2 linked regions of the Lepisosteus oculatus genome follow. The protein of the gene in region 1 interacts with the protein of each later gene in a pairwise test. Links are inferred from orthologs where the notes say so. Each region holds a gene or a part of one and is shown in the gene's direction. Other genes may lie near its edges.

What was found.
Region 2: the proteins of ercc6l2 (region 1) and cell cycle regulator of non-homologous end joining interact in binary tests that used the Homo sapiens proteins (3 or more experiments, as listed by UniProt). The two-hybrid records come from large-scale screens. The link is inferred for Lepisosteus oculatus from reciprocal best matches to the Homo sapiens genes ERCC6L2 and CYREN.

Annotation. Positions count from the first base shown.
Region 1 is NC_090698.1:57,212,855-57,228,430, reverse strand, and holds the start of ercc6l2 (DNA excision repair protein ERCC-6-like 2), read left to right. Parts: upstream 1-9,187; 5' UTR 9,188-9,768; coding exon 9,769-9,805; intron 9,806-12,582; coding exon 12,583-13,016; intron 13,017-13,262; coding exon 13,263-13,382; intron 13,383-13,902; coding exon 13,903-14,096; intron 14,097-14,772; coding exon 14,773-14,934; intron 14,935-15,576. UniProt on the Homo sapiens protein: Promotes double-strand break (DSB) end-joining and facilitates programmed recombination by controlling how DNA ends are joined in a spatially oriented manner during repair.
Region 2 is NC_090702.1:55,882,498-55,897,885, forward strand, and holds the start of cell cycle regulator of non-homologous end joining, read left to right. Parts: upstream 1-8,264; 5' UTR 8,265-8,590; intron 8,591-9,635; 5' UTR 9,636-9,745; intron 9,746-9,851; coding exon of another isoform or gene 9,852-9,947; exon of another isoform or gene 9,948-10,038; intron 10,039-11,594; 5' UTR 11,595-11,800; intron 11,801-14,422; exon of another isoform or gene 14,423-15,047; 5' UTR 15,048-15,195; coding exon 15,196-15,317; exon of another isoform or gene 15,318-15,322; intron 15,323-15,388. Other genes in the region: differentially expressed in FDCP 6-like, read right to left, coding at 3,101-3,241, 9,852-9,947. UniProt on the Homo sapiens protein: Cell-cycle-specific regulator of classical non-homologous end joining (NHEJ) of DNA double-strand break (DSB) repair, which can act both as an activator or inhibitor of NHEJ, depending on the cell cycle phase.

The DNA of each region.
Region 1 (15,576 bases):
TTGAAGCACAGATCAGACGGGCACGAACGCAAGAAAAAGCGGGATAAGAAAGGTCGACTAACGTCACGGTCGCATCACCACATAGCGCGAAATGCTGCTGAAACTCCGTGCTGCAATAAAGACCGTGCAGTGCTAGTCAGACGCTGCCGAGCAAGAACTCATTGGCTGTTTTGAAATTACAGATTAGTGTATATTCAAAGATTCCCCGGCTGATCTAAATGACTATACAGAGGTGGTCAACTCCTAAATCAATTTCTGTGTGGACAGATGTATTCCTACCAAAAAGATCCTGATATACCCGAGTCAGAAGCCTTTGATGAAAAAAAAGACATTCTCTGCAAACTTAAAGCACAGTCTGTTGCCTTTCACTCAGGTGACAGAAAACTGTATAAGAAGTCAAGGTATGATCTGGAGAAAGCTATCAAACTAGCAAAACTGGAATGCAAGGACAAATTGGAAAAAACATGTTGGGGATGACATAAGTTGCTTGTGGCAAGGCTTGGAGGCTACCGTGAACTATAAAGGCAACACCCACGGTACCACTGTATGGTACACCAATTTCTTCCACTGATGCATCTCTACCAGATGAGTTGCACACCTTTTGCTCCCGATTTGAGGCTCAGAACACTGAGCCTGCTATCAAGGCTCCCAGTGAACCAGGTGACTTTGTGTTTAAGCTCTCTAGAGCCATCAAGAGAGTGAAAGCCTGGAAAGCAGCTGGCCCTAATATTGTCTTCCCTTGTGTCCTTAAAACCTGTGCAGGTCAGTTATTTCCTTTATATTCAAACATTTTGAACCTCTCTCTGACACTGTCAGTCATACCAGAGTGCTTCAAGAAAACCACAATTGTGCCAGTGCCCAAGAAGAACTTGGGGAAATTGTTTGATTGATTACTGCCCAGTGGAACTCACTTCAGAGGTCATGAAGTGCCTGGAAAGTCTTGTTTTGTCTTATATAAATTGCACTATCCCTGACTCCCTTTTGCTTACCGTTCAAATAGGTCAGTTGATGATGCCATATCTCTAGCACTACGTACTGCCCTTGAACATTAAGACAGGTGGGGCACCTGTGTTAGCATGCTGTTTCTAGATTACAGCTAGGCTTTTAACACAACTGTCCCCTCCAAGTTGGTCCCAAATCTAGGAATCTGAGCTCAATCAACTCGATCTGCAAGTGGATACTGGATTTCCTGACAGGCAGACCTCAGGTGGTGAAATTCGGCAACAACATCTCCTCCACAGTGATCCTAAACGTTGAAGGCTGCTGGTTCATTCCTAGATTCTACTCTTGTTCACCTATGACTGTGCAGCCACTTACAGCAGCAACCGTATTATCAAATTCATTGATGACACCCAGTTACTGGGCTGACCAGTAACAATGATGAGTCCAAATCTATGACTGAGATGAACCATTTTACAAGATGGTTCCTTGACAATAGCGTGACCCTAAATGTCAACAACACAAAAGAAGTGATTTACACTTCAGGAGGCCCAGAGAAAGTCACAGCCTAATCAGTATTGAGGGCACAACAGTGAAACTGTCAGCTCTTCATATTTCTAGGATTGCAGATCTCCACCAATTTCTCTTGGTCTCACAACACAACAGCACCTCCACGTTCTGCAGTACCTAAAGAAATGTGGTATGGGGAAACAGCTGCTCATGAGCTTCTCCCGCAGCATCATAGAAAGTGTCCTCACTAATGGCATCACTGTATGGTATGGCAATACTACCATACATGACAAAGCCGTGCTACACAGTGTTTTGGCACGACACAGAGGATTACAGGATGTGACTTACCATCAATCAATGAGATTCACAACATCCGCTGTCGCAGTAAAGCCCGATCCATCATTCAGGATCTCAACCATCCCGGTCACAAACTGTCATCCCCCTGCACTCTGGCAAGTGGTACCACCCCATTAAAACACAGACCACTAGGCTTAAGAACAGTTTCTATCTGACAGCAGTGTGCATCTGTTAACAGCAATGACTCAGAATTCAATGCACCTCTGCATTCTGCACTCTCACTTTCTACTTCATATTTATTTTTTGGTTTTATTTATTCCTCCATTTGTTTATTGTCTGTACATAAATAATTATTTACTGTTTTGTAATATACTGTGTACATTGTGTGCCATTATCTGTCGTACTGTGTTGTCTGCTGTACTGTGCATGTCCCGAGAAAACATCGCAAGTAAGAATCCCATTGTACATGTACTGTACATATGGCAAATAAATGCCTCTATCTATCAAAACATCTCCATAAAGCTACACTGACAATCTCAGAAATTGGTTCTTTCAACACAGTTTTCTGAGCCACAGAAGTAGCCCTTCTCCTCAGTGGTTAGCATCCCAGTTCCAGCTGTTGGGTCTGTTGTGTTTTATTCCAGCTGAATTTCTTACATTTACCTCATCAACCTCTGAAGAACAGCTTGAAGTATTACAATCATTTCAGTGCTTAAAGTGTAGAACGACATGATACATTAACATGCAAGCTGTGCCAGATGTTGGGATTCACAGCTCTCTTCTCACATAGGTTTATTATTGCAATCACTTGGTCGAATTTAACCAATGGGCCCCTGCAAGAACATTTACTCTGGTGTTTGACTGCATAGTTCTCACCCGTGTTTGCACATTATTAATTGTGAAACAAGTTCTTTAGGAAGCTGCAGGGGAACAGCAAATTTAAAGCATGTTGAAACCTTTCTTTTCACCACATTTCTTGGAAATGATCAAAGGAGATGTGACTTCTTCCCGAGTACAGCATATGAATTCTGTCTCTTGTGCCAATGCCACCACCAAAATAAGCCAATCAGATGGTCATGATGACAGAAATGGGCTCATCAACCAATACCTTCCGTACATGAGAAGGAAGTACCACAAATGTCATTTAAGAATAATAATCATAATAATAATTCCTTACGCTTATATAGCACTTTTCTGGACACTCCACTCCAAGCGCTTTACAGGTAATGGGGACTCCCCTCCACCATCACCAATGTGCAGCCCCACCTGGATGGACGTTATATTCTATAACGACAATCTAAAGTGACATTTCCAGTACGGAATAATGTAATGAAATTGGTGGTGACACTTCTTCCCATCAGTTCGCTTGAGGTCCAGACCCACTGGAATCACACAGTTCCAGAGAAGAGAGGCCAATCTTGCCAAGACTCCCAAACTCAACAAGGTGTTTAAAAAGTCAAACACTAACAACAGCCTTCCACTAGATGGGGAAACAATTAGCTCTTAAAAAAACAGGAATTCAGGTGTGATCAAGCACACGCATTACAGATGCACATCCATCCATTTTCTAGCCTCTTCTTCCACTTCAGGGTCACCAGAGAGCTGGAGTCTATCCCAGCAAGCATCAGGCACAAAGTGGGAAACACCCAGGACGGGACGCTGGTCCATTGCAGGGCAGACATACAAAACAGAGACATCCTTAGGTGCACATTAATGTGACTCTTTGTTCTCCATTCAAGTCGCTGGTAATTCACAAAAATTAGTACTAATATTTTTTTGTTTCCAGAAGCCACTGTAATTCCTAATTCAAATTCCATGTGAGTAATACAGCAATCAAGCTGTCCGCGACAACAACAATTATACAACAAATTGTACCCGTCTTTTTGTCGCTTTTGACACATGGTTCGATTAAGCGTAAAAAGAGCTTAATGTTTTAAGAGTTCAGATGGAACTGGAACCTCAGTCAACACAGCAGTTACTCTAGGACTAAGAACGGGAAACCGCATTAAAACGTCTGTGTAGGAACATCAGCCTTGAAATCAGTCTTTGTCCAACTGACATTAATGTTAAAGCTCTAAATTAACCTAGTGAATTACATTTTTTGTCTCGCGTTCTTAAATAAATTAAAGCAAACCTTATTAAAATTGTTCTGACCTGTTTGACATGTAACGAGATTACATTTTGGTATATACTGTAGCTGAGATCGAGTCACATAACCAGCAGTGGGGAAAGCATTTTTAATTACCGACGTCCCTTTTTTTGAAAGAAAAAAGTAGCGTAAGAGAAACCGAACAAAATCAGCAGTTAAAACTGGAGAATAAATAAAAGCATATGAAGTGCGTGCCTCTCTCACGCCTACTGATCTTATAAAAATGAAAGACGAGGGCCACCGTGAGAAGCAGGATGTAAACATGGTTGAATGTTAAAAGAGTTTAAATTCTGTTTTTTAAATTACGTAGCATGCCAGATGAAGCCGTGCGCCTTGGCATGGTACATTGACACATAAAAATGGAACTTTCTGTTTTTATTTTCCAAAGAGAATTCGATTTGAGCAGCTGTTGCAGATGTTCTCATAAAGAAGTCAAAACACTGATGTCAAACTGTTTACATACGGCATAGAATAGCATACCAGCTCTCTCATGGAACTAATAATTTCCTAACGTTTTACCAGATTATCATCGATAAATAAGGTATTTGGTGTTAACCAAAAATTGTGAAAATAAGAACAGAACTACTTGTATTCATTTTCACTGCTAAAGAATGGTGTGCTACAATTATAGTCATGGACAAACACCTCCACTTCTGTGTGAAGCTTGTAGCTTACAGTAGGACTAAATGTTTTGGTTGGGAATTTTAGATTTTGGAATTAAGGAAGGAAAAGATTATTTTTTGCTGTTTGTGTTTCTGTCATTTGATGCTAAGTTTTGTGTTTCATAATTAAAAAAAAACCTTTTACAGATTCTTACCCTAACAATTTTTCTTCAATTTTGTTTTCACAATAGAACTACTTCAAAAGTTGTAGGTCCTTTTACAGAACTAACTAGGTGTCAATAATGTCAATGTAAAAGCACTTTTTACCGAATAACATAAGGAACATATGCATGTCATTTCTGAACATATTTTAAATGTTATAACTTACATTCTACACGATTAGGAAATAAAACAATACATCCTGAATTGGAGTACCTGTAATGGCTCGATGCCAAGACTTAATTCATGGAATTACTAAAGTCTTAGAATTCAGAATTCATTTTTTTTTTTACTTTGCAAAGAGATTGTTTTGCAAGGACATTAATTAAATTTTTTTCTATTTAACTTCCTGTGAGAAATGTCATTATTAGGATTGTATGCTCATAAAATATACAACAAGTAATCTTTAATAAACAGTATTGCTACATTGGGAAAATTTTCACATAACATAGTGTTCTTATTCTGCAAATGACTAAAACAATGTCTAATTTTCCCATTTTAAACACATTGGAATCACTGTCTCTCTACTGGTACGAGTCCACAGACAAGTTGAGGTTTATATAAAACTAAAATGATATAATGAAAATTACAAAATACTGCAACGAAGATCCATGTTCAGTTTTATGGTTGCAAAAACATCTTTAAGTCATAATGTTCTTCTGATTTTGATTTTGTTATTTTCAAAACTATCCTTATTTCTCTTGAAGAAATTGTACTTATTATACAATTGCGCTTATTCATGGCAGATGCCAGTAATTAACAGCTTTACCCAGCTGTTTGTTTTCTTGCAAAATATGGTCTATATTCAGGTTTACTAGATTAATTACTGCATCGTGCAATTCAGTAAAGAGATATCAGAGGACAAAAATAAAGTATTTCACAAGCAGTGTCAAAAGATATGGGCCTCAGACATGCACGTACCTGTAGGAATGTATCATCTAGCTTTATTGCAAAGTGTAATAATAATAATTATTTATTTGACTGTTGGGATACTGTTATTTGAACGTGCAACCTTGCAGCTACATGAGCTTCTAACCTCTATTTACATTACTGTCTTGTTGATGCACCAGGTCTCACTTGTGTCACAACAGTGCAGCTACTGTAGTTATGTTTTTACTATCAGATGACCCTCCCATAGAATGCAATGTTGGAGCTGTAATCATATGTTCATTTACTACAGCTTCTAAGCAAACTTTGACAGGGTAACTGGTTGCATGCTTGAAGAATATTTGGTATTCAAGAAATCATTGACAATAATAAAGCATATTCATTGGGGTGGCAGTGTTGTCAACGAGTGGCAGGAGCAGACCTTTTCAAAACATAATAGTGCACTTTTTCAAGGTTTATGTTTCATCCACGAGTTCTATGTATTTTGCGTTACTGTAGAACACATTTTCAATTTGTGCTTTACTGCGCTGCAGCAATTCTTAACTTCACAATACAATTCCTGGTTTCTTTTTTGGCAGTTTTATATCAGTTTTAGATATTACCCTTTGTTTTAAACATCTGATATTTATTAGGCACCTCTTGGATTGCAAAACAAAGTAACTAAACTCTTGTATAGTAAATATTGGATCTTGTTGCTGACTGTGATGTATGAATAATGGCACCATTAGTGTAAGTCACTGAAAATTCTGCATGCAGATTAATGGGTTGATACACTCTTTAGTGATTTTGTGGTTACTATTTAACAGCCAAACAAGATTATTATATTTATTTAAAAAGGAATAACAAGAGCAAATAGCTGTTTGAATGAAGTTTACTTTAACAGCTTTTTGATCTGTTACAGCTGCAAATCCGATTTCATCCACTCACTGGTAACACACCTGGACATAAAGACCTCCTCAGTCAGGGTGGCAGTGCACAGAGAAACAGACTTGTTCTTTCACAGCAGTTGTAAATGAGCATAGTCTGTATGAAAAGAAACATGAGGCAGGAACCTTGAGGTGTTTCTTAGGAGCATAACCTCTGTTATATCATCTGTCCCATTCAAACGCTGAAACAGCAGACACTGCAGACGATGAATTGCATACTTTCAGTAGATTTGTTGGAAGATCCGAAGAATAACAAACAGCTAGAAAGGTTTTAACAACTGGGTTATTGTGCCTTTTTATAAAGTAAGGGAATAAAAGCAATGTAAAGTCTTGAATAAGATAAAAAAACAAGTGTAAAAGTTTTAACAGTGTAAAAACAATAAATACATCAGCATTTGTAAAAAACAACCCCTATAAACTAGGCTAAATGAACAAACATATATCCAAACATTACTGCCAACAGAACACTCTGGTAGAACAAGAATAACCTTTAATTTAAAGGTGAAAACAAACCAGGCACTTTCATATTCCAGCCCTGTTGCAACTCAGGTGGAAAAAGGTGGGGAACATTTATACTGTACTAACAGCTAGCGGAAGATCCGAAGACCAAAACAGGTCTTCAGCCCAGAAACAATGAATTAACGCTGAAAATCATCCTGATGCAAAGGCTTCTACCTTGTTTGTGCAGATCAATGTGTTTAAATTCCTGAGCTCTAATACCACATTTTTACTGGTTTGCATTTATAGATGTGCAACATCTTGAGAAATATAATATGGGCACCCACATACTAAGAAAAGATGTTGCAGATTGGTACTGTAGTGCTCTAGGGTTCACATGGCTATGCGCCCTCGCCACTGCTGCCTCAGGTCGGCCCCCCCACCACTGGGGACTCGAACCCGGGGCCTCCGGCGTCACTCAACAGGGACCCAGCCAGCTAATCTAAGGGAGATCTTGAAAAAGTGAAACCGAAAGCGCTACAGTACAATATACTGTATGCTCAAATTAGAAGGCGAATACTACATGTTCTTTGAATATGTGCAATTAAATGCACTGCTTGCTTAGCAAGGATGATCTCTGTTGTATCACTTGAGGGGGGAGAAGTCTGATATATATATTTTTCATTTTTATGCAACATAAGATAAATGCTCATACTGAGTACTTGCATTCAATTTGTTAGGGCATATTGCACTGAAATATAATAACTTAGTCGCTTTTATATCAAACATCGTGTCAGTCTAATTGAGATTTCTCACATAGTTCAAGTGTTTAAATGTGGAGAGTCAATAATGGATGTTTTCAAAAGAGGTTAAGCCACAGAATAATTCTTCGCTCGTCTAAAGTTTATCTTTCTTGTATCTGACACAAGGTTAGACATAAAAACTGGTTGAATTACATTGTTTCATTAGACTGTAAGTAGGTTAAAGTTTACATGGTTTTAAAACATGGTTGTTGTCTTTAAATCATCTCCAAAACATACAGAAAAAGACAAAAAATATATACAGCATGTAAAATATCTTCCCTGGATATTTAATCAATCAACCCATCAATTAATCAATCCATCCATCCATCAATCAGTTGCACATGATAATATCCTTGTCAGAAACAACGAAAATGAATGAATAATCTCCTGTGCATTAAGGGGTTATGATAATAATAATAATAATAATTGCTTACACTTATATAGCGCTTTTCTGGACACTCCACTCAAAGCGCTTTACAGGTAATGGGGACTCCCCTCCACCACCACCAATGTGCAGCATCCACCTGGATGATGCGACGGCAGCCATAGTGCGCCAGAACGCTCACCACACACCAGCTATCAGTGGGGAGGAGAGCAGAGTAATGTAGCCAATTCATGATGGGAGTGAGACTTTGCAATTAAATGACACTGGCAATATAATGAATGACGTGACATAAAAGGTGTATGGGAATGAGCTGTGTACGTTTGCTTTTTACAGCATGTCTAATTTAGCGTGTCAGATCAAAAGGAAGTAGAATTATTGAACACATGAACCCTTACGAATTTCTGCTAAATAATGAACCGGCAGATCACAGGGATTGCAGTTTCTGTCGCTGCTGGACTTCATAGAAAGACGTGCGTCACTTCTACCCGCTTTGCTCGTTTCTTTGGAAGGTCCAACATATATTTTGATGGTCTGGAAAAGTTATCTAAATTTATTTTTAACTTTCCATGCACCATTTACAGCGATTTAATTTTAAGATGCAGAATACGCAGCCTATACTAAAATCGAACTTTACAACGCATGTTTTACCGAGGAGAATGACAAAATATTTGGTTCATTTTCAAACAAACGAGAATTCACAACACCGTTATTGTTTTATGCTGTTTCCACCGAAAAAAAACAATAGCGTATAACATATATTTTAAAATTAATTTTACTTAAATATTAGTATTAGACGGATGGCAATCCATCCCTAACATACATTTATCATCCTTGTAATACCATAAAGGGAAAATATGGGGGAAATAAGAAATTAAAACTCTAAGACCATCTAAAATTTCGCTTATGTAAGCATTAATTTATGAGTATTTTATGTCATTATTTTTATCACAAAATTTACAGTACTTTATTTTATTCTGTCGAAACTACCTCCCGCGATGTCGAAAATATGAAATCAAAGATACATTTACTTACTCACTGTAGCGCTTCTACCAATTGCTAGTCAAGGCAGATACAGATAGGACTCTGTACTGGTGCAAAGAATATTCGTAAAAATATTGTAATTGTGTTTTTTTGAGTGTGCTATTAAATGCTGGACATGGGTTCTGAAATGCACACATCCGATCACAGTGTTGTGCTTTTTTCGTCGTAGTTACGCACCTCTGAACATTAGACGTTTTACAATTATGTGGTCGTATCTGACTACATTAGACTATTGCTTTTTGAATTTTAGTTTTACTGGATGTTCTTAACGATGGGCGCTCTTATGTAAGATCCGTATACTTATCATTACGATCCGTATAATAATAATCCCGAATAATAATAACGAAAAGCTTAACTAATATGTCTAATGTAATAATTAAGGGTGGTTATTGGTTGTAAAGAATGTCGTGATGGGCAAGAACATATGCGTCTCAAAGATTTATAATGTTCACTAAGCATTCTGCAGTTTCTCATTTTACGACATTTTGGCATTTCTGACTCGATAGCAACATGTAATCCTTCATGGTACTGGACATCACTGTACTCCTGATGCCGAAGTCGTGATGCTGAAATGGCGTCAGGATTGTCACCCCAGTCTGACAACACAAGTAAGTAATTATCCGTAGTGATTTTAATCTCACTGCTATTTGTTATACAAACGTTCGCTTCTATGTAGTATGGTATAATAATAGTCTGCGTCAACACCACGTTTTAACTCGATGTTAAAATACCTGCAATGATCTACAAGGAACAGTAGGAAAAACCACGGCAGGAGGGCCCGACTACAATCCAGCATAATAGAGCAACCAACATGTAGCAAAACAAAGATGTCAGTGAAACATGATTCGGTTCAAGCTTTATTATACCATGGGGGAAATTCGTTTTACAGCACGGTCCGATACAACCAAGACAGACAAAGGTTACCAGTAAAGAAGACTGTCTAGCAGTGTTTCAGGAGATAAGAGGAGCACTTGACATTGGTGGAGAGTGAGACGGCAAAGGGAATGAAGGATTTCCTGAGTCTATTACTGTATCCATTCACGGGACACCTAACAGTAAGCTAACTTACTGTTAATAGGTTTATGATGACGTGAAGATATTTAAAAAAGTACCTAGTAAATTTACTAATAAAATGCAAGAATACAGCATGAGACAAGTAGTGGTGGTGGTTGAGTGCCATTGAGTTGGTATGACTCATGGCAACTCTATGGACAGTTCCACTGTCACTATAGAGTTTTCATGGCAAGATACAGAGATAGATTGCCAGGTCTTTCTTCCACACAGATAGTGCGAGTGTTGTTGCCGTTGTCACAGAATCGTGAGCCTCTGCCACCAACACCACCCCGTACTGCTGCTGCCCAGTGTGGGTTATTAGAGAACCTTGTGCCCAACATGGGACACAAACCCACTATCCTGAGATTAGGAGTCTCATACTCTACCAACTGAGCTAGTCGGGGCTCAGAGGCACATGGTACTGCCTGACGTATTGTATGGGAAATCACAACTTATATTACATTGCACTTGAAGTCCGGACATGCAGTAGACCAGTTGGCTGAAGGTGGTATTTATGCAGACAGTTCATAGCTTGCAAGGCAGGAAGAAATAGTGTAGGAGTTGCAGATGAAGTGTGCATGAAAGGTTTTGGAGGAGGTGCCGGGAAGTGGCTGAATACAGAGTGCTCCTGGCTTTGTCACGTAGCTTGGTCCCTCCAAACTGACTAAAGACTCGGGAATGAGATGAAGGAGAGAAGATTTACAAACGACTGCGTCTTCTAAATGGAGTTTATAACGAAAGTTCGGGAGGGATGACAACCAAGTTCAATCAGACTCAGCTGTCAGTAATTAGCAATCGCTCCGGACAATCCATTCCCCTCCCAAACGCTATAAATACCTACGAGATCCCTATCTCTCTCTCTTGCATGTCTCTTGCATCCCACCTCTAGCGGGTTAAAGCCAAAATGTCGCTCCATGATCCTATCATGACACTCTAGTCTTGGGTGTTGTCATTCCTAGTGAATTAAGATTCTCTATCTGATATTTTTGCATTTCTTGGTCTCAGAAAAGGTCTGGCCTTTCTCAAATTTTATAAATATTCAGTGAATTTCACGTTAGCTGTTGACTTCATTTGGTAACTTCATTACACAAATATGTCACTCGGTGACAGTCTGCATCCCCAGCCAGGCGTCCGTGAAAAACTTAATTGTTTAAAATTTAAAAGCTTGGTTTCAAGTGGGCGTTTACTGTCAAGCTCTTTGAGGAAAAGGGTTTAAAAAACATTTTATTACTGGGCCATTCCCTTGCAGCTGGAGCCATGGCATTGGTTTGGATTTTATTAGCAAAGTTCACTTGGAGCTGTTGATGGGTTGTGAACTTGTGTGTGAGACCTAGAGTCCTTTGTTATGATGGCACATTTGATATCAGTACCTGCATGGGAGACCTCCTGGGAAAAACTACTGGGTTGCTGCTGGAAGACTTTTAGTGGGGCCAGCAGGGGGCGCTCACCCTGTAATCTGTGTGGGTCCTAATGCCTCAGTATAGTGATGGGGACACTATACTGTAAAAAGGCACCGTCCTTTGGATGAGACGTAAAACCGAGGTCCTGACTCTATGTGGTCATCCCAGGGCGTTTCTTGAAAAAGTGCATGAGTGTTACACTGGTGTCCTGGCCAAATTTCCCATTGGCCTTTACCAATCATGGCCTTCTAATAATTCCCATCTCTGAACTGGCTTCATCATTCTGCTCTCCTCCCCACTGAGAGCTGGTGTGTGGTGAGCGTACTGGCGCACTATGGCTGCCGTCACATCATCCAGGTGGGGGCAACTCATTTGTGGTGGTGGAGGGGAGTCCCCAGTACCCGTGAAGCACTTTGAGTGGGGTGTCCAGAAAAAGTGCTATAAATATGTAAGGAATTATTAATTATAAATATTAACTTTGTTGGACTTGCATTCTGTATAGGGTAAAGGTTTGGGATGAATTTTGAATAAATCTAATTGCGTACCCCCCTCATCTGGCAACTTGCCAAAATTAATTAAAGAGGATTTTTCTGGTCAAGGTCACCTTTGTGCTTTAGGTTACCCATTTTAAGGTCAACAATTTAAAGTGGTTTTCTCTTTTTTTTAAAAAAAATAGCATTTTTTAACTCAGGTGGTCCCAAAATCCTAGGATAATTTTTAAAGCAAAATCTGAGATGGTTGGAAAGCAGTCTTTTTTTATATGGAGTAACCATATTATTCTTAATTCAAAAATGTAAATGCTGCATTGTATGCACACAAGCTGTACTTGCCAAAGAGGTCAGGTATGGTATAGTTGGTTCACATTGATATGCATGCACTATCAAAACTGTGTGTTATTCATATATTCCTTTTTGTTATTCTCTTTTCCCTAGAGCTGAGCTGGCATGTGGGAGATAGGTGCCTTGCTCCCTGCTCTAGCGAAGGGAGTTTGTGTGCAGGGACAATAAAGAAGTTAGTTTCGATTGATGAAGACGAGTCCGTGGCAGTGGTGAAGTTTTTCAAGTATGACGAAGAAACTGTGCCAGTTACAAAACTGCAGGTGCTTCAGAGTCCTCTCCCTTACAAAAGCAAAAGAACTTCTGTATTTGGAGGTGAAGACCTGGAAAAGCCCCTTTTCCACAACAGGAAACTTCCTGGTGCAGCTGTACCGTATAAGTTATCAGAAAACGGAGACAACATTCCTTACACTATCAACAGATACCTGCGAGACTATCAACGAGAGGGGGTAAAGTTCATTTACAGTCACTACAGGAAAGGCAGAGGCTGTGTTCTCGGAGATGATATGGGACTCGGAAAAACCATACAGGTAAGGAATTCTGTGAAGACTCACACAGATTGGTCATCTGTTTTTTTTCTTCCTTTTAGAGCGAGCATGGTATAAGTTTCAAATGCGGCCCTTAAAAACATCAGTCATATTTCTCCACAGTGAATATTTAAAAAAACATTGCAGCTGTTCTTTCTAAGTTGTATGCATAGTGGACTGCATAGATGAAAAAGATTTAATGCAAAGGCTTATGGTGTTTATAAAATGTACTTTGCCATGTGATTTCAGGTCATTTCCTTTTTGGCTGCTGTGCTACACAAGAAAGGGACACGGGAAGACATTGAGAAGAATGTGCCAGAATTTTTGTTATCTGACGAACAAAAGCCTAAAACACAGAAAAGTAAAAAGGTAAGAAGCATACCTTGAATATGACAAAAATATATCTTATATATATATATGACCAAAATAATGCTTAGGAACTGTTAAGTAAATGGGTAAAATAAAAAGTAATGAGTAGAAACTTACTGTGGTCATTTTAGTTTTTGGACTTAAGATTGTTTCCTTAATATACACTCATAATTCATCCTAATGTTAATCACGTAAAATATCTTTTACAAAATGACCACAAATTTGTCAACAGATGTTATTCGAATATAATGAGAAGCTGGAAAAGAAAGTACAGATTATTTATAGTTATGTGAGCAAAACACCAGCCCTGCATAATACCAGGTTTCAGGCGTTGCAACTCCGCTGGTATAGTTAATAAATAGAGTATGCAGACTCAAAAGAAATACTATAAGGGTCCAGTTTGACAAAGTTGCTCAAGTTAGAGATAATGTGGTCAGCGGTAAAAAAGCCTGTATTCTTCAGTCCTAAACTGTTACCCTTTAGCTGTTGAAGTAATGATTGATATTTTGGTTCATTTTAGATATTCCTAATTGTGGCTCCACTGTCATTACTCTACAACTGGAAAGATGAGTTTGACACTTGGGGTTATTTCAGAGTTACCATCTTACATGGCACAAAGAAAGAGGAAGAGCTTGCTCGAGTGAAGAAAGGCAAGTGTGAGTTTGCCTTGACAACATATGAGACGCTCCGCCTGTATCTAGATGACTTTAACAGGTAGTGTCTTGATTTTTCTCCGACATTGTTTATAAGAATTAAAAGAGAACATAAAGACTGTACCTTTTAATATCTAAAGGTTGTTAACAACAGCTAGTGATGCTGTTTTCCAGAAATCCCTGAGATTACCACAATTTGTTCCAGAATTGCATATAATTTCTAGAAATGTGTTATGCTTTCAGTTACGTCTGGTTTTCCTCGTACTGTCTTGAGTGAGTTCTTCTTGTTCTGAATGCAAAATTGATTAGAAAAAGATTCGATGAAACACATCCTTTTACTTTTTCAGTCTTCAGCCTACATGGATTCAGTGTTTACTCTTTTAATATCTAGTGATTATGACTGTAATAGTTCAGACCTTACTGTATGACTCATAGAAAATGCAGTCAGACTGTTCCATTACTTAAGTTTTTCTTGCTATAAGTCACTATGTTTTCAATACTGTGTGTGATTTCTGTGTGTGAGGTGAGAGATACAGTATACTGCATATAAAGGCACAAAACTAGAGGCAGTTTTTACAAATTCAGCTTGATTTAATATTCATGATCGGAATGTGTTAAAATTGATGTTGCAGCTACATTTACTGGGAAAACACTTATATGTAGGTGCATTCTCATGTGGTGAAAACCTGAAGGTGCGCCACTCGTGTGGTGATAACCTGGATGATTTGTTTCTACAGCATTGACTGGTCTGCTGTTATAGTTGATGAGGCCCACAAGATTAAAAACCCCAACTCACAGATAACACAGGCAATGAAGGAACTGAAGTGCAGAGTGCGAGTGGGACTGACGGGGACCATTCTCCAGAATAACATGGAGGAGCTGTGGTGTGTAATGGACTGGTAAGCAGAAGTAAGATTACAGTTGCAGTTCAAAAATATTTTGTAGGTCATCTGTTCTTTTGATAGAAACTGTTTCTTAATAAATATCCTATAAATTAAAGCTCAACCATTATAATATTTCTTTGCAGTTCCTTGGTTACAGTGCACAGTGTCATACACACTGGCATACTGTGCATCATAAGAAACGTGTCACACTATTTATGTATGTTTCTGGAAAACATACAGTATACAGAGTTGGGATGTTGATGAAAGGTTTTTGTACCATTTTGACTGTGATCCTTTATATTGTGATCTTTAAAATGAACAGCAAGAAGGCTGAATCAGTCAGGCTGTCTGCATCAAGGCACAAAGGTGTGGCAAAAAGATAAGAGTAAAGATGCTTGGAACACCTCATTAAGCATTTCCTACATTCATTGCTTCAGGTTGTCTTCACCTTCCTCTCCTTGTTCCAAGTTCCATGGTTGTTTCTCATTTGCATTCAGCAATATGTTAAAAGACAACACAGAGCAGGACCTCAGCTTCAATTCTCAGTCAATACAGATTGCAATAGAGCAGTAGATTCAGGCTAGATTGAAATCCTTGCAGGAGCAACATTCCCCAGAAAACTATGGAGAATGAGCTGCTACCTTCATACAGCTGACC
Region 2 (15,388 bases), on another chromosome or scaffold:
CATTATCTATTTCAAGCAGGCAAAAAGTATATTAGAGAGGCCGAAAGAGAAACAGGAATGCTGCATCGTAGGCTAAAATGAATAATGAAAGGTTCTTTCAGCACTACAATAGCAAAAGGAAAGTAAAAAGGATGAAGTAAAATATATCTAGGATAATAATGGGGATTAATGTCCTAGAGGTAAAGATGGAGGACTTTTAGACACCAAAACAGATATTTATTATATGAATATTTTACTCAGGTCCTTAGCAAAAAAAAACCCATCTACAATATGACTCAGGTCGCAGAGAGACAGAGTTCTGTATTTAATCATAACACAGAAGAGGAAGTGTTTCAGTGAAGATGAACAAATATGTAGGGCTTGCTGGTATTCTACCGGTTAAAGTACACTTTGAATTAAACTAAAGAATTATCTAGGAAGAAGTAAGAACCTGGGGGATAGTCAACATGGATTAAGGTAGGTCTTAATATTTTAGAGCTCGTTGAACAATTAACTACAGCAGTGGTTCTCAAACTGTGGTACGCGTACCGGCAGTGGTACGTGGAGTGCCGCCAAGTGGTACGCCAAATGACCCTGGAACTGTGTCGTGTGCACTGAAAAATCGGGACGGGTTTTCATATTTTGTATTTTAATACGTGTCGAATACGCAGCCTACGTACTGTGATACAGTGCGCGCTAATACTTCAGTGGACACAAGAGATCCTCTGTAATTCTATACCACTCTATAGGAATGTGTGCTACGGATGCAAGTGACCAATTGTATTTAAAAAAGCTACTGTATCTCCAGCAAATAGGGAGAAAGGAGAATGTGCGTAATTTTGGAACAATGCCAACGTTGTAAACACAGGAATGCATAGAAATACGTGCTACGAACGCAGGTAATCTTGTGAGCACACGAAAGCGTGATAACAGAAAAATATTTAAGAACTGTTCTAATTTGAGAAAAATACACCGAGCGTCTCTGTGCTTTGCTCCCATGCGCATGAAATAAAAACTTACGGAAATAAAAACGGAAAGGCGGAAAAATGCAAGCTTGCGTATTGCTAAAGCAGGTAAGCTACACTATTTTTGAAGAACCTTATTTACCGTTGGCAAAAGAGCTGACACATATTATGTGTAGAGAAAAAGCTGCTAAAGAGCTCGACCTGCTGCCCCCCTCCCCCTGAAAGACACAGTCATTCATAGAATTATTAAAATGAAGGATTATATCAAAAGTACACTGATAGAGCGCGTTAAGATGAGCAGATGTTTTTCACTGCAATTAGATGAGTCTGTAGTCGATTTGGCCAATTTGCTCATTTACGTTAGATACGAGTTTGAGGGCACGTCTCATGAAGACTTTCTGTTCTGTAAACCGCTACCAACAGGAACTACAGGAGAGCACATATTTCAGCTTCTGAATGAATTTATCGAAGAGAATGGCCTCGACTGGATAAAATGCGTCTGAGTTTGTACAGACGGTGCTAGAGCAATGAGCAGCCGACATAATGGTGTAGTTGCACGAATTGGAGAGGTTGCTCCAGAAATTAATGTACGCATTGCAACATCCACCGCGAGACCTTTGCCGTCAAGAAAATGCCTGACGATTTAATATCTGTTAGACTCTGTTGTGAATTGTATCAAGGCTCGAAAAATTAATTCACATCTGGTTTGGTCAACTAAACAGGCTCACCCCTCTCACTGAAATGGTGCTTTTTTATTAGTTGTTGTTAATGTTTTTTTTTCTGTAAAACACTTTGAGAAGCCACCTTTAAAGGCGCTATATCAAATAAAGTTTATTATTATAATATTTATTATATGTATGTGTGAGTGTGTGTGCACGCGCGCTTATGTTGGTCATTGAGAATTTCTGGGGTTCCTATGAGATGATGACTTGTAGGTGGTACTTGGATGCTTTGGTTGGATTAGGGGTGGTACTTGGTCCAAAAAGTTTGAGAACCACTGAACTACAGTAATAACACACACAGAACATGATGTGGTATATTTATATTTTCATTAGGCTTGTTCCTCATAAACGATTAAAGACTGGGAAAATAATGGCCCGAGGCATTCCAGGTAATGTGTGTGCTTGGATTGTGAACTGGATAATGGACAGAAAACACAGAGCAGAGAGAAAGAGTGAAATTTCCTTCTGTGGTGACATCACTGGCGGAGTACAGCAGGGATGTGTATTAGGACCACTGCTCTTCTTCATGTATATCAATGATCTACGTACTGGTATAGTTGGAAAATTATACTATAGAGCTTTGCAGACAATACAAAATAGGAGGATAAGCAAACTCTGTAGAAGCAGCCAGGGAAATTAAAAAATTAGACAGAATTCAAGACTGGGCAAACACGCAGCAGGTGGTATTGTATGTAGACGACTACATACGAGTTTTAGAGGCAGAAATGGAAACATGAGCTACAAATACTGTATAAAATAGGACACAAGTGAAAACTGTGAATTTAAAACTGAGAACAGGAAGGAGTTTTACACAAAGGCTTGTGGGTATCTATAATAAACTACCCAGCCATGTCATCAAAGCTAATATCCTGAATTCTTTCAAGAAATGGCTGAATCAGATCCTCAGATAGATCATCTACTAGCAAGCACGTGAGCTAGATGAGCTGAACGACCTCCTCTTGTTTGTAACTTTTCGTACGTGCTTGTGTACACCATTAACCTGCCCTGTACCTCCAGTGAGAACCTCTTTCATGTCTCGCTCTCTTGTTTTCTCTCAATACTGTTTCTAGAAGAAGTGTGTTTCCTGTTTAATATACACTGAACATATCAGCACGTCACCTTGACCTTACTACTGAATGTAAAAATAATCTGGGTTCTCAATAATCCTGTTTTCACATTGAGGACTGAGCCATCAGCAAATCCAAGGTTTCCTTCAAGATGAAGTACAAGCTACTGTAGATCTTATCTGATTGAGTACTGTAATATCCCAATACTGAGATATCAGATTCTCTAACACCTACTGCTGAACACATTTTAGCTCTGACTAAATGTCAGAGACAATGTGAGATGGAAGTGGGTGCTCGGGTGATATTTTTGCAAAGTTTCAGTGATACAGAAACAGCAGCATGAAAGACACAAGGGTTTTTCTCTGACCTTGGCCAAGATGTAGTTGTTGAGGTATGGCATGTACCCCTGATTGGACACAGGGCCAGCATCGTCATCCCGAAAGTGCTCTTCCAGGGCAACAGGATCGTGGGGGATGTTCAGGGCGGTGTACAGGTTGTGGGACAGCACCTGCACACAATGACAAGGAACACAGTGCTGCTTCAACAGGATTTACTACATTTATTAGCCTCGATATCTGAAAGCTTAAGGTAAACGTGAAATGATGTCAAGGCATTCAATCCATACTTGCAGCTATTGAATGTAAAAACCCCTCATCAGGATTAAAGTGTGTGTAGGACACAGCCCAGCCATGGTCTGAACACCTCCATTCAACCAGATAGGAACACGTTCTGTTTCACGGTGACAGCCTGGAGACCAATTCAGTAGGAGTAGTACAGTAGGAGCAATCAACTGCAGCAATGCGAGCAGAGTACCTTGGTCAAGAGATCAACAGAAGCACCCCAGATGGAACTCGGATCCACAACCTTCCCCTTTTGAAGCCAGATCCTTGACCCTGAGACCCTGCTCCTGTCGCCAAACAGCCGCTCCCTCTCTTCGGACATTGAACCCCAGGATCCAGCGTGACAGGAGGGGATACTCACCACTGTGCTAATGTGCAAATTCTCTTTGACCCCTCAAGATAGGCAGGAGAGAACAATTACTGTAGCAACCATCGGCCCAGTGACACAGCTGGACCGAAGGGCATGTCCTAATTTGCAAAGCTCTCAACAGCTGTACATGGACAACGTAACCTGGCGATTTTATGCAGTGATGTGTAATGTGTCAGGTGCTCTTGCACTGACTCTAAGCTATGGAAAAATAAAGAACAAGACTTAACTTCATGCAGGGCCAGGCAACCTTGGCTTTTACAGCTCATGTTGGACCATCCAGTCCAAGCTAATTCCGGAATGGATCCTTTAATTGCTTAATTGACCGCAGTTTGTAATTAAGGATTTGACATACAAGACATGGGATGGGAGACAAAGGACCAGGTAAAGATTTATTCCCTGCTGAAAGGAAATGAAAAGAGACACAACATTTGGGCTGTGCATGCTGACAGAGCTCCCTACACGAACTTCATGGACTGGGAGAGCTGGTCTAGTATGTAGTTATATGTTTGATTGTTTGGCATGTGATCGCTTTGCTCTCAGCAAACCACGGACAGGTAGCTGTGACGTCTCTGGTGTCTACAGACACATTTACATTGTTGGGACACATTTCCTCTCTCAAGCATTTGAATCTCTAGCAATGAAGTGTATTCCGACGGATTACATGTGACTTTCTGAAAACTTCGACTACAGGCACCAAAAAGGCAAACATGGTTTTAAACTTGCTAGATCAACAATCTGTTAACCATTTTTGAACGCCGGAAGAAATGGGCTGAAGATAACATCGCCAACTTAGGTTGTAGGTTGTACATATTTAGAATTGGGATCAATATGCTTCACACTGATTTTCATGACAAACCTTCTGCATCTTTATTTCTTGATTTACAGTTTTTAGCTTGTATGCTGCAATTTTCCTGTGACCTTTCGGTAGAATAAGTCGTTAGCCAGTGTTTAAAGTAGTGCTATTTGCTATAGCAGGCTTTGAAAATCAACTCCATCCCCTAAGCCAGGGGTGTCGAACTGACAGGTTGCGATTGGCCTGCAAAGCCCATTTAAAAAATCAGAGCGACTGGCCTCGGTTCAATCCCTGTCTCATCAGAGCCTGCACGGCCCACTTTAGCAAGGTAGAGCAAGCACTCTTGATGATGCTGCTGTACTTTGTTAAAGACGTAGGTCATCATGTTAATGTCATTTCCCCCTCCAAAACAATGTGAGAAAGTGTTTAAAAATGCAAACAAAATGTTGATCTAAAGTTAAAAGCATAGAATTTAAATCACGTGACTTCATGATAAAATGTTATAATGCACTCATTTAGAATATTGTGTACAATTTTGGTCACCACATTATAGAAAATATATTGTTGCTCTGGAATCAGTCCGGAGAACAGCAACCAGATACATTGGGGATTAGGGGATTGAACCACACAGGCTGAAGAAACTAAACCTTTTTAGGCTCGAACAGGGAAGATTACAAGGGCAGCTGATACACATTTTCAAATTCCTCAAAGGCGCTGACTAAATCATCCCAGAAGACATCTGAATGAGCAGTGAAACACGAACAAGAGGGCACAAGCGAGAACTAAGTGAAAGTGCATTTAAAATTACTTGTTTTGACACTGAAAAGAGGCAACGCTGCTCAAGATTGGCTGCACAGCTGCCTCGCAGAACACTTTACTGAGGGATGCATTTCCACCCTTAAACTGCAGTTTAAAAAAAGGAACTGGCTCTGAGCTTCAATCCTGAGTCATCTCACCAACTGAATATGTATTTCCCAACTGGCAGAAAAGTGGCTCAACTCTGCTGGAGGCGGGGTTGTGATTGGCCAGCCAGGCAGTGACATCACTGAGAGACTCCCTGCTCCACCAATCAGCAGTGACTCAATGCCAGCAGCCATATCACCCTGCAACTCACAGCTGGCAGCCCACTGAAGCTCAGCAGGTGTGAACCTGGTCAGTACCTGGATGGGAGACTCCTGGGAAAGCTATGGTTGCTGCTGGAAGAGGTGTTAGTGGGGCAAGTAGGGGGTGCTCACCCTCTGGAAATACTAATTCTCAAGTATAGTGATGGTGTCACTGCAGTGTAAAAAGGCGCCGTCCTTTGGATGAGACATAAAACTGAGGTCCTGACTCTCTGTGGTCATTAAAATTCCCAGGGTGTTTCTCGAAAAGAGTAGGGGTGTTACCCTGGAGTCCTGACCAAATTTCCCCCTGGCCTTTACCAATCATGGCCTCCTAATAATCCCCATCTCAGAACTGGCTTCATCAATCTGTTCTCCTCCCCACTGTGAGCTGGTGTGTGGGGAGTGTACTGGTGCACTCTGCTCTCCTCCCCACTGAGAGCTGGTGTGTGGGGAGTGTACTGGTGCACTCTGCTCTCCTCCCCACTGAGAGCTGGTGTGTGGGGAGCGTACTGGTGCACTCTGCTCTCCTCCCCACTGAGAGCTGGTGTGTGGGGAGTGTACTGGTGCATCATCCAGGTGGGGCTGCACACTGGTGGTGGTGGAGGGGATCCCCATTACCTGTAAAGAGCTTTGAGTGGAGCGTCCAGAAAAGCTGTATAAGTGTAAGGTTATTTACTACAGCTCATGGGACTATGCCTTCCCCATCAGAAGCATTAGGTCACAGCTATGGAGTTTGAGTGTAGAACTCCTGCACAAGAGCTGTGCAGTCTATTATTACTATTATTATTGACTGTTTTGTAAGGCACTGTGCAGCTTGCTATGCCTCAAACGCTCCCATACTCACACTCCAGGGCTGTATAGGAGTGACTGGGTGGAGCCGATATACATGAATTATTGACACTTCCCAATTGGGCAACGAAGCACTTTAAAAGTTTTTTTTGCAACGCGATAGCTTTTATTCAAATAGGCCAGTGAGTGGCCAGTTTAGCCTGGGTTCACTCTTCCTTTATCTGTGCCAGGCAAGGTCTCATAAAATTTAAAATTACACAATACCTCACCACATATGTACCACAGATGTAGAAAGCTAAGTTTGGTGAAATATGTCCTAATTCGGACCCAGCATGTGACAGATGTGCACGAGCTTCTGCCACTCTCATGCCTGTGTTTTGGTCTGGTCCTGAACTGGTTCATTTCCGCTCCTCTATCTGGGGTGCTTTCTCAGGAATTACTCATCTAGAAATGGCACCCACTCCTTTTATTGCTTTTTCTGGTGTGCCAGCTGTCGACCTCACCCTCTCAGAACTACAGTCTGACAGCTTGGCTTGTGCAACTCCGTTTCTAAGGTGCCGAATCCTCTTCCATTTCGAAGCAAGCTGCCCCACCCACACGGGTTCAATGGCTCGGAGAAACGAAGATAAAATCAAGTACGCATGTAGCTTCACCATAATGATTTTTAAAGTTTGTTACAATTTCTGAACTATTTTGAGACCTTGAGCTTCCCCTCTACACCCTAGATTTGAATCTGTTATAACAAAGGGGCTGCTTGGATGAAACCTGTTAGGACTGGCCTTTCTGTTTTTATTTTGCTGTCTGGAGACTGTTTAGTGCAATTTGTATTCCCTTTTTTGTGTCCCTTTTTTATGTCTTCTCTGTTAGGTTTACTTCTTTTTGCGAGGGAAGATTTGAGAAGGATGTGGAGCAGAAATTCTGTGTTTTTCCTTTTCACAAATTAGTCTCAGACTAGACACTGTACCAACCAATTTACGTGTTCTGTAGCATTACTTCAATAATACTTTTCCAATCATTTTACTTATGCATCTAGAATTTGTGTTGATTTAAACAAACAAACAAACAAACAAACAAACAAACAATAAAATAGTTGCCAGAAAATGTTAGCTTTGATTCCCCACTAAGGATGGGGATGAAAGGAAGATTGCACGAGCCGTTTATATTTCTGTTCGTGACCACAGATACTGACAAAACATAACAGAAAACACACTACTGCTTCTATCAGGCACAGTGCCAGCAGAGACAGCACATACTAATGCAACAAGCCTGATGATAAAATCTTTAGAACACAAGAAAAGTAACCAGTTCCCGTAAAAAACATTCATATCTGTCATGCTCTGCCACACTGGAGGGTCTGAACAGCAAACCTGTCAACATTTCAGAAGAACCCAAATTGCACCAAACTGTTTGTTGACTCTCCATCTCAGAGACCTTTTTACAGACTTAGGACCTGCAAGCCTGTCAGATGATTTTAAAATAGTTATTTAATAATGTTGACATGATAGACGTAGGAAACAGGCCTGCTGGCTGTAGGATATTAAGCAAAGAGTGACCACGTGTCAAAAACACAAAGAAACTAACATCGAGGGGTGAAACTCACCATCCACAGACCCCCTGTTAGTGATAAACATCTTGGTGATGATCCCTCCAAGATATCCATCACTTCGTAACACTCACTGCTGTTACTGTTACCAGACCAAAATGCTTCATTTTTTTCACTTGGATGTTAAAATTACTGTGTCAGAACAGAAATAATCAAAACAAATAAGTACGTCAAATGAATAAAAAGCAATAGATGGTCAGAGATGACCAAGCTGTGTTAGAAAGGTCAGTGCAGTGCACCCTGTTTAGAGCAGTATTTTAAAATAAGAAACTAAGTCAGCCATTTGGAAAGGAATGCTGGGGGCTCTGGCACGCTGAGCAGCTCTGCCACAGGGTCCTCACGAGGAGTCTCAGGGACTGCAGGACCCGCATGAAGCTAACACATGAGAGATCAAGTCAGTGACATTTCTCCCATTTCTTCACACTGCGAACACTTCCTCTAGTAAGGTATACTAGCTATACATATCTCACATCTGCAGTGACTTTCATGCGAACGGACCCAGCAGGGTTGTGGCCGGTGTGAGAGTCGCTGGCAGGAAGGACAGCTCTCCATTGGAGAAGAAATCCGCTGCATTGCTTGGTAAGACTTAAACTGCCTTCATGCGTGCAGACTGCACTCCCCACAGAGCTTACCTGCATCTTATCTCTGTGCTGATTCTTTCTAGCTACAGCACCGATGTGCTGTATCATCACAGTTTTTTTCCCCTGTCTTTATATTATTGGTTTGTCTGTGTTGCATCACTTCGAAGGAGTTACTCCTGACCGCGGGACCCAATATTCTTAATATTCTCATGCAGTGTGTTAAAACAATGATAGTGTGCAGCGTGTCACCATTCACTGAACCTGCTCGAAGTCCTGCCCAGCCCCCATCCTGCAGATCTGCTATGTCAGCATATCGTTGTTCCAGTTCAGTTCTCAGTGCCCCACTTGAAATAACCACTGGGGCAGTTAAACAGCTCTTTCCAGCTGCAGGTGTTGAGCTGTTAATGCAAAGAGACCTTTAGGTGCTGCAGGATGGTCTTGCAGGTCTAAAGCAAAGCAGGAGGTTGAATTCATTTCTGTTTTACACCGAAAGGAAGAAGTTCATGGACCTCTTCAAAGACAGATGACTTTCCATCAATTTGCAAATGGAGGAAGCACAATTTAAGTTTTATTAATCAATGATAAGTCGTGAGTAGCTTACTCTGAGCTGTTTGGAAAATAAAATAATAAGTGGGCATTACACAGACTGGGAACAGAAGGATCTGACATAGAGAGTTTGGTTCCTAAAACTAACTGATTTACAGAAAGTTTAAGTAACATATTCTGTGGTAGCATATGTTATATAAAATTGTATTGGTCAGCCAAAATCAGTTACTCCTGGCCTGTCTTTTACACTTTTCTGTTTCTTCTAACCTCTGCTCTTTCCGCAAAGACACACACACCTTGGTTCCATTATGGACAAAACACCACCACTGGTGTTTTTTTATTTTTTGAGCTGGGCTCAAGTGCACTAAAGAAACGACCAGCATGAACAACAAGAAGCAGACAACTGTGATGCAATAAAGATATAGAAAAACAAGCAAAAGCAACTGCAGAAATGAAGAAACAGCTCTCTAACCTCTCTCTGCTTCACCCTGTCCCAGCTTGCCTATGAAGAGCAGATGGCCTTGGGGGTTCTGGGCGAACTCTCCAGGGAGAGAAGCCCAAGACAAGCTGGGAATTCCAGGTGCTTGCATAGGTGTTGTTGATGAAGGTAGGAAGTTGCTATTCTGAATTAGGTTTTCATTTCACATAGATTTCCTGGCAGCATAGACCCAATCTGCTACCACTTGTAAAAGTAAAAAATAAATCAGACGTACCTTTAACTGGGATTTAGAGACCTTTCCACTTTGCTCCACGTCCAGGGATGTGAAGGCGTACCAGATGGACTTGAGCAGCTCTGCTTTGAAATTCATCTTGCAGCTGCTGTCTGCTACATACTACAAACTGCTGGAGTGCACAGGCAAGGGGAGTGTGTGAGTGAGAGAGAAAGAGAGAGAGACAGTGAAGAAACACTGGAAGATGTTAGATAGCGTGTGGGTGGAGACACGACTTGAGAAAGTTCTTTGAAACAACAAGTCAGTGGCAAATATTTCAAAAATAACAACAGCACAGACAACTGGTCCGACCAGTTCACGATCAGCCCAGTCTCGGTTTTCGTGATTTTGTCTGTTTCATTAAGGTTTCCTCCCAGCTAAAGACGGAGTGCAAATTCTCACAGCTAAATAAACTCCAAACTCTGTAATCCTTATATACTGTAGGTCACTTTCTCCAGCTAGTCCGTTTATAGTAAAGCAATTCATAATATAAAAAACTACTGTACTTCAGCTTTTCAGATTCAGAAGCTTTGAAAATAAATATTTAAATATATATTTAAACCATCACTTTATGTTCCATTCAGTAACTGTGAAACCAAATGATCAATTGTTGTCTTATCTAACTTCTTCTCAGTGATTGTGATTTGTAAAGCTGATCTATTGAAATTAATGAAAAACAGCACAAAAAGGGAGATCTGTTACAGAACTTGTAAGCCTGCTGTTGTCAAACTGAAACACCCTTCCTTCTGTGAATGAATTTACCGTTTATTTGTCTCTTGGTTGAGCTGAGGAGATTCTCTCCACAAAGTGACTGCTGTATATCACATGGCCCCTGAGCCTGGCTTAGCTCGTTCTGTCTTACTGAAGGTCAGCTTTTCCCTCAGCTCTTGAAAGAGCTGAATCAAGGCTTTCTTTATAACTAAGCTCATGTCCATCTTCTAATGACAGAGAGGACACGTCAGCCCTGCTGCTGTCATTCCTGTTCATTTCAGCATAGAGTGCGTCATCTCTCTCTCAGGGAGGTAGATGTGTCAAACCACAGGCTGTGTAGTATTCTTAGCCCCATTTATCAACCTCATCTGCAGCTGTGTTTACAGTCTGCTGTTGAAGCCGGGTGTATCAGGAGAGGTGGTTTAACATTAGAGCTGAGTGAGCATTTCAATACTGATCAAAATATTTAAGCACTCTTATTTTAGTGCCGTCTAGAAGCTTCCATAACTAATAACTCCATACTTCATTCTAATAACATAATAAAATACTTTGTTTAATGACACTTGACCTACCTGTTGCACTGATGTGTGAAACATGATGTGTTTCAGTCAAAGCTTTGGATTCACGCTTGGTCTAAATGGTATCAAACAATGGTGAAACCACCCCTTCCATAAGCAGAAATATCCACTGGAAAGAATCCAATGTGTGGATAGTGGATTCATAGTTTGTTTTTAAGACATCATAGAGCTAACTAGTGATTCCAGGCAAGTGTTCAAGAAGCTAAAGCATTCTTCATAAAATGCAATTTTAGATGACAAAATGAATGGATGTTACAATATGACCTGAGGGCTGAATGTCTTGGGTGTGTTTTGTAATGGGTTTCTAATGCAGTTAAGGGAGTTGTTATTGTTGCACTTCACTGCTCACCTGAGAGTACAGTGCCCCCCCTGTGGCCATTGATGAGTACAAGGGTAAGGCAGAGCATGAAAAGGCACTGTGAATATCATGTTGAATATGAAACTCATTTTTACACAGCAAACAAGCGACAGTAGTTCTCTGGACTTCTACTGTAATTATCTTGCGAAGAAGAGAAGTGGCGAAGAGAGAGCCCCTGTGTGTGGAGCAGTGCTCGGATGAGCTGCTGGAGGAGAGGCGCTCAGCAGAAACACAGCCCATGCTGCCTCCCCCAGCCCTCAAGCTCGGGACCCAGCAGGTTCTCCGTGTTTCTTTCATTGATAAACGTATGTTATATTGACCCAATTATGGTATGGTCTAACTGTTTCTTACTTTTCAACAGCTGTTCATTATTTACGGAAAAGTAATACATTCTGGACATCGGTGGTAACCTATTCCCTACAGCAGTGATTCCCAGCCCTGGTACCGAAGAAACACCATCTCTATCCTAGTGTTTCCCAGCCCCTGGTCCCGCTGGAACACCATCTCTGTCCAGCGCTTCCCAGCTCCTGTCCCTAGGGAACACCGTCTCTATCCCAGCATTTCCCAGCCCCGTCCCAGAGAAACACCGTCTCTATCCCAGCACTTCCCAGCCCCGGTCCTGTAGGAACACTGTCTCTATCCCAGCACTTCCCAGTCCCAGTCCTGTAGGAACACCGTCTCTATCCCAGCACTTCCCAGTCCCGGTCCTGTAGGAACACTGTCTCTATCCCAGAGCTTCCCAGTCCCGGTTCTGTAGGAACACCGTCTCTATCCCAGCTCTTCCCAGCCCCCGTCCTGTAGGAACACTGTCTCTATCCCAGTGCTTCCCAGCCCTGGTCCTCGAGGAACACTATTCTCAATAGTCACTGCGAGTGCAACACGATTAGACCCCTGAGTATCATTAGAATCCAGGGGTCCACTTGTGTTGTACTTGTGTGTTGCAAGCTCTGCCAAAGTATTGATGTGCCTTCCAATGATATCCCATTTTGTTGATTATCAAATTACATTCACACATTTGTTAAAGAGAATATTTTAATCAAAATTGATTTAAATAATTGAATGCGCAACTGAACATTTTCAAAGATAAAAACTCTTAAATATCAGCAAAAACTGCATAAGAACAAAACAAACTAAAATATTTGATAGGCATAAGAATTTGCCTCCTTAAAAACCATTCCACTGTGCAAGTGGAGTCTTAACAACACAGACAAGCATGAACAGGCAGCATTTAATTAATAAACCACTGGTTAAAGAAACAGCAAGATACAAATAGGTTTACCTGAGGCTGAGAAATGGAAAACCAGCAAAGAGAAAGAAACAGAACAGTGAGCTAAAAATAGTATTCCTAGACGTAGCTGAGTATGACCTTAGGACATTCAAGAACTGAGTCGTTTGCACAGGTTTTGTTATTTTTCACAAGCTACGCACTTTACCTGGTATGTCATGTTCAGACCAATGATGGGACAGTGACTCTGGGCACCTCTGTGTTTGAGTGGATAGAGGAAAAACATTCCCTCGGTCAGGAAACGCCCACCTGGGACTCACATGCAAGTTCCCCAAGTATTTAAGTTTAGTTTAGTTTATAGTATTTTAACTTGAACTTGAGATGTGCAGATCCTGAACTAAAGATTATGCATTTTATGCTTTTGGTAGTATTTTACGGTGGTAGAATTTGAATTCCAATGGAGGTGTTTACCCAGTGTCAGTTAAGTTTCTGGTTTACTGTAGTTAATCACTTTCTTAGTAAAACATTAATGTCTTCATCAGACCTAGAGCCCAGCATAAAAGAGAGGTGGAATAAAGAGTTTGTACTGTAAATGTTGTGTTGATTCTATCGGCCGGGGCAGCACTATAACTCATTGGTCTTGCTAATACGGTTCTGAATCGAATAATAAATAATAAAGAGACAGGGAAGGAACAAAAGGAAGACAGGGAGCCAGACAGAAGGAGCACCATCTCCTGTCTCCTACTCTGTGTTGTGTGCCAGGCTAGAGGATCTTGTTCTGATCAGTATTGGACACCAGGTTCTGGCTACAGAATTTGAACCTGTTTTTCAACAGCTTGCTGCCTGGTTTGTCTTAGGAAATTCTCAGGCTAAAAATGTTCTCTCCTAATTTGCTGATGTGTCTTTAGAATAGGGAGATAGACTCCCATTCTCTTTTGGGCATCCAGGTTATAGGAAAGGAGATTTAGTGCCGAGTTGTTTTCTTTTATTTAGGACACAGGCTGTCTCTCTTGCTGTCCTGTCAAGGTGTTGTACTGTGTCTCAGGTTATAGGGCCAACATTCTGGGTTTCTGTGGGACATGTCTTGTCAATTTAATACTATGTAATGTTTACTAGGCACTTTACTGGGAAGCGCTGGGATAGAGACGATGTTCCTACAGGACTGTGGCTGGGAAGCACTGGGATAGAGACACTGTTCCTACAGGACTGGGGCTGGGAAGAGCTGGGATAGAGACGATGTTCCTAAAGGACCGGGGCTGGGAAGCGCTGCTGTACGTTATACACTATATAATACAGTTCAACTGTCACAGCAAATTCTATCACAGTTATTGAGAGCGCTAAAATTAATCTGTACTTAACATTATTGATCAGACAGTATTGTGATTTTCTAAAAAACCACCGCCACCCAGTGGCAATTCAAACAAAGCTACAGAGGGATAGATATAAGTATATAAAAACACGAATTAACACAATATCTAAACAGCGTCACCAAAACGAAGAGGTCAATGTACAGTATTTGAAAAGCTTGCATCTTTGTCTGAAGCACCGTTTGCCAGCCAAGCCACGACCAGCTAATTATATTAAGAATAAGCAGTCAGTAATTTCAGACCGCGCAGATAGGAAAATCAATTGTAGAGAACAAGAGTATGTGGCTATTAAAGTCGGAATGCCTCTCAGTAAATAGTAGTGAATTCTGTGAAGAAATTCACTCGATCGAAAAACAGATGATTTGTACTAGGGATTAAGACTCGTTATACACGTAAACAGAAACACGTCACTGGAGTCCTTTGAATTCCCATCATGCATTGTATGATAGGCCGTAAGAAGATTGAATGACCATAGATATCCCGGAAGTACAATGTGTTGTTTATCAACAGGAAGAGAAGAGTAATTCGGAGAATTTACAAACTGGTTAGATCTACAGTTTACAGACGATATATTGCAATTTATATTAAAGGTGTATTAGAAAATACAATAGTAGCTGTTGTCTTCAGATTGTAAAATCGATCAACCTAGCTATTCGGTAAATCATAGTTTTTTTTCTTATCTTTTGCAGCCAGTCCTTTTAATACTGTGAGAAACGAAATATTTTAACAGTGAACTAGTTATCAAAACCTGTTTGAAAGGGTGACCATTGTCAGACTGCACATTTAAAATCACAAGACAGCTTAAATTTAGTTTGCAGTTTTAGTTTTGGTTTCTGATCTTTCCACGATTTAATGGAATACTCCCCTTGGAGATTAACAGACTTAAAATAAGAAATGTCTGAGCGAGTTGTAAAAATATAAAACTTCTTAGTAACAGTTGAAATGTTCTTCTGATTCAAGCGCCTTTTGCACGCTGCAGAGAGCGCGTTCAAACTAGTCATTGCCGCGGCAATGTGCTTCGGAAACGGGCAGAAGACCAGCCGTGGATAACCAGGCACCAGCCCTCTGACGGGCCCGGCCAGGGTGTGTGTCTGCAGGCGCCCGAGCGATGCAGGCTCGCCAGCGGGCTCTGCCGGCCTGGATGGTGAGGAGGAGAGAGGAGAGGGAGGCAGGATCGACAGAGACCAGGGCTCCTTCCCCGCAGAGGGGCAAAAGGAAGAGAGCTGAGAGGTGAGGTGAGCTCGGCGTTTTCTTTCTGACCAGCTGCTCTCACGTGTGCGGGAGTCTGGGAGGAGCTCCCC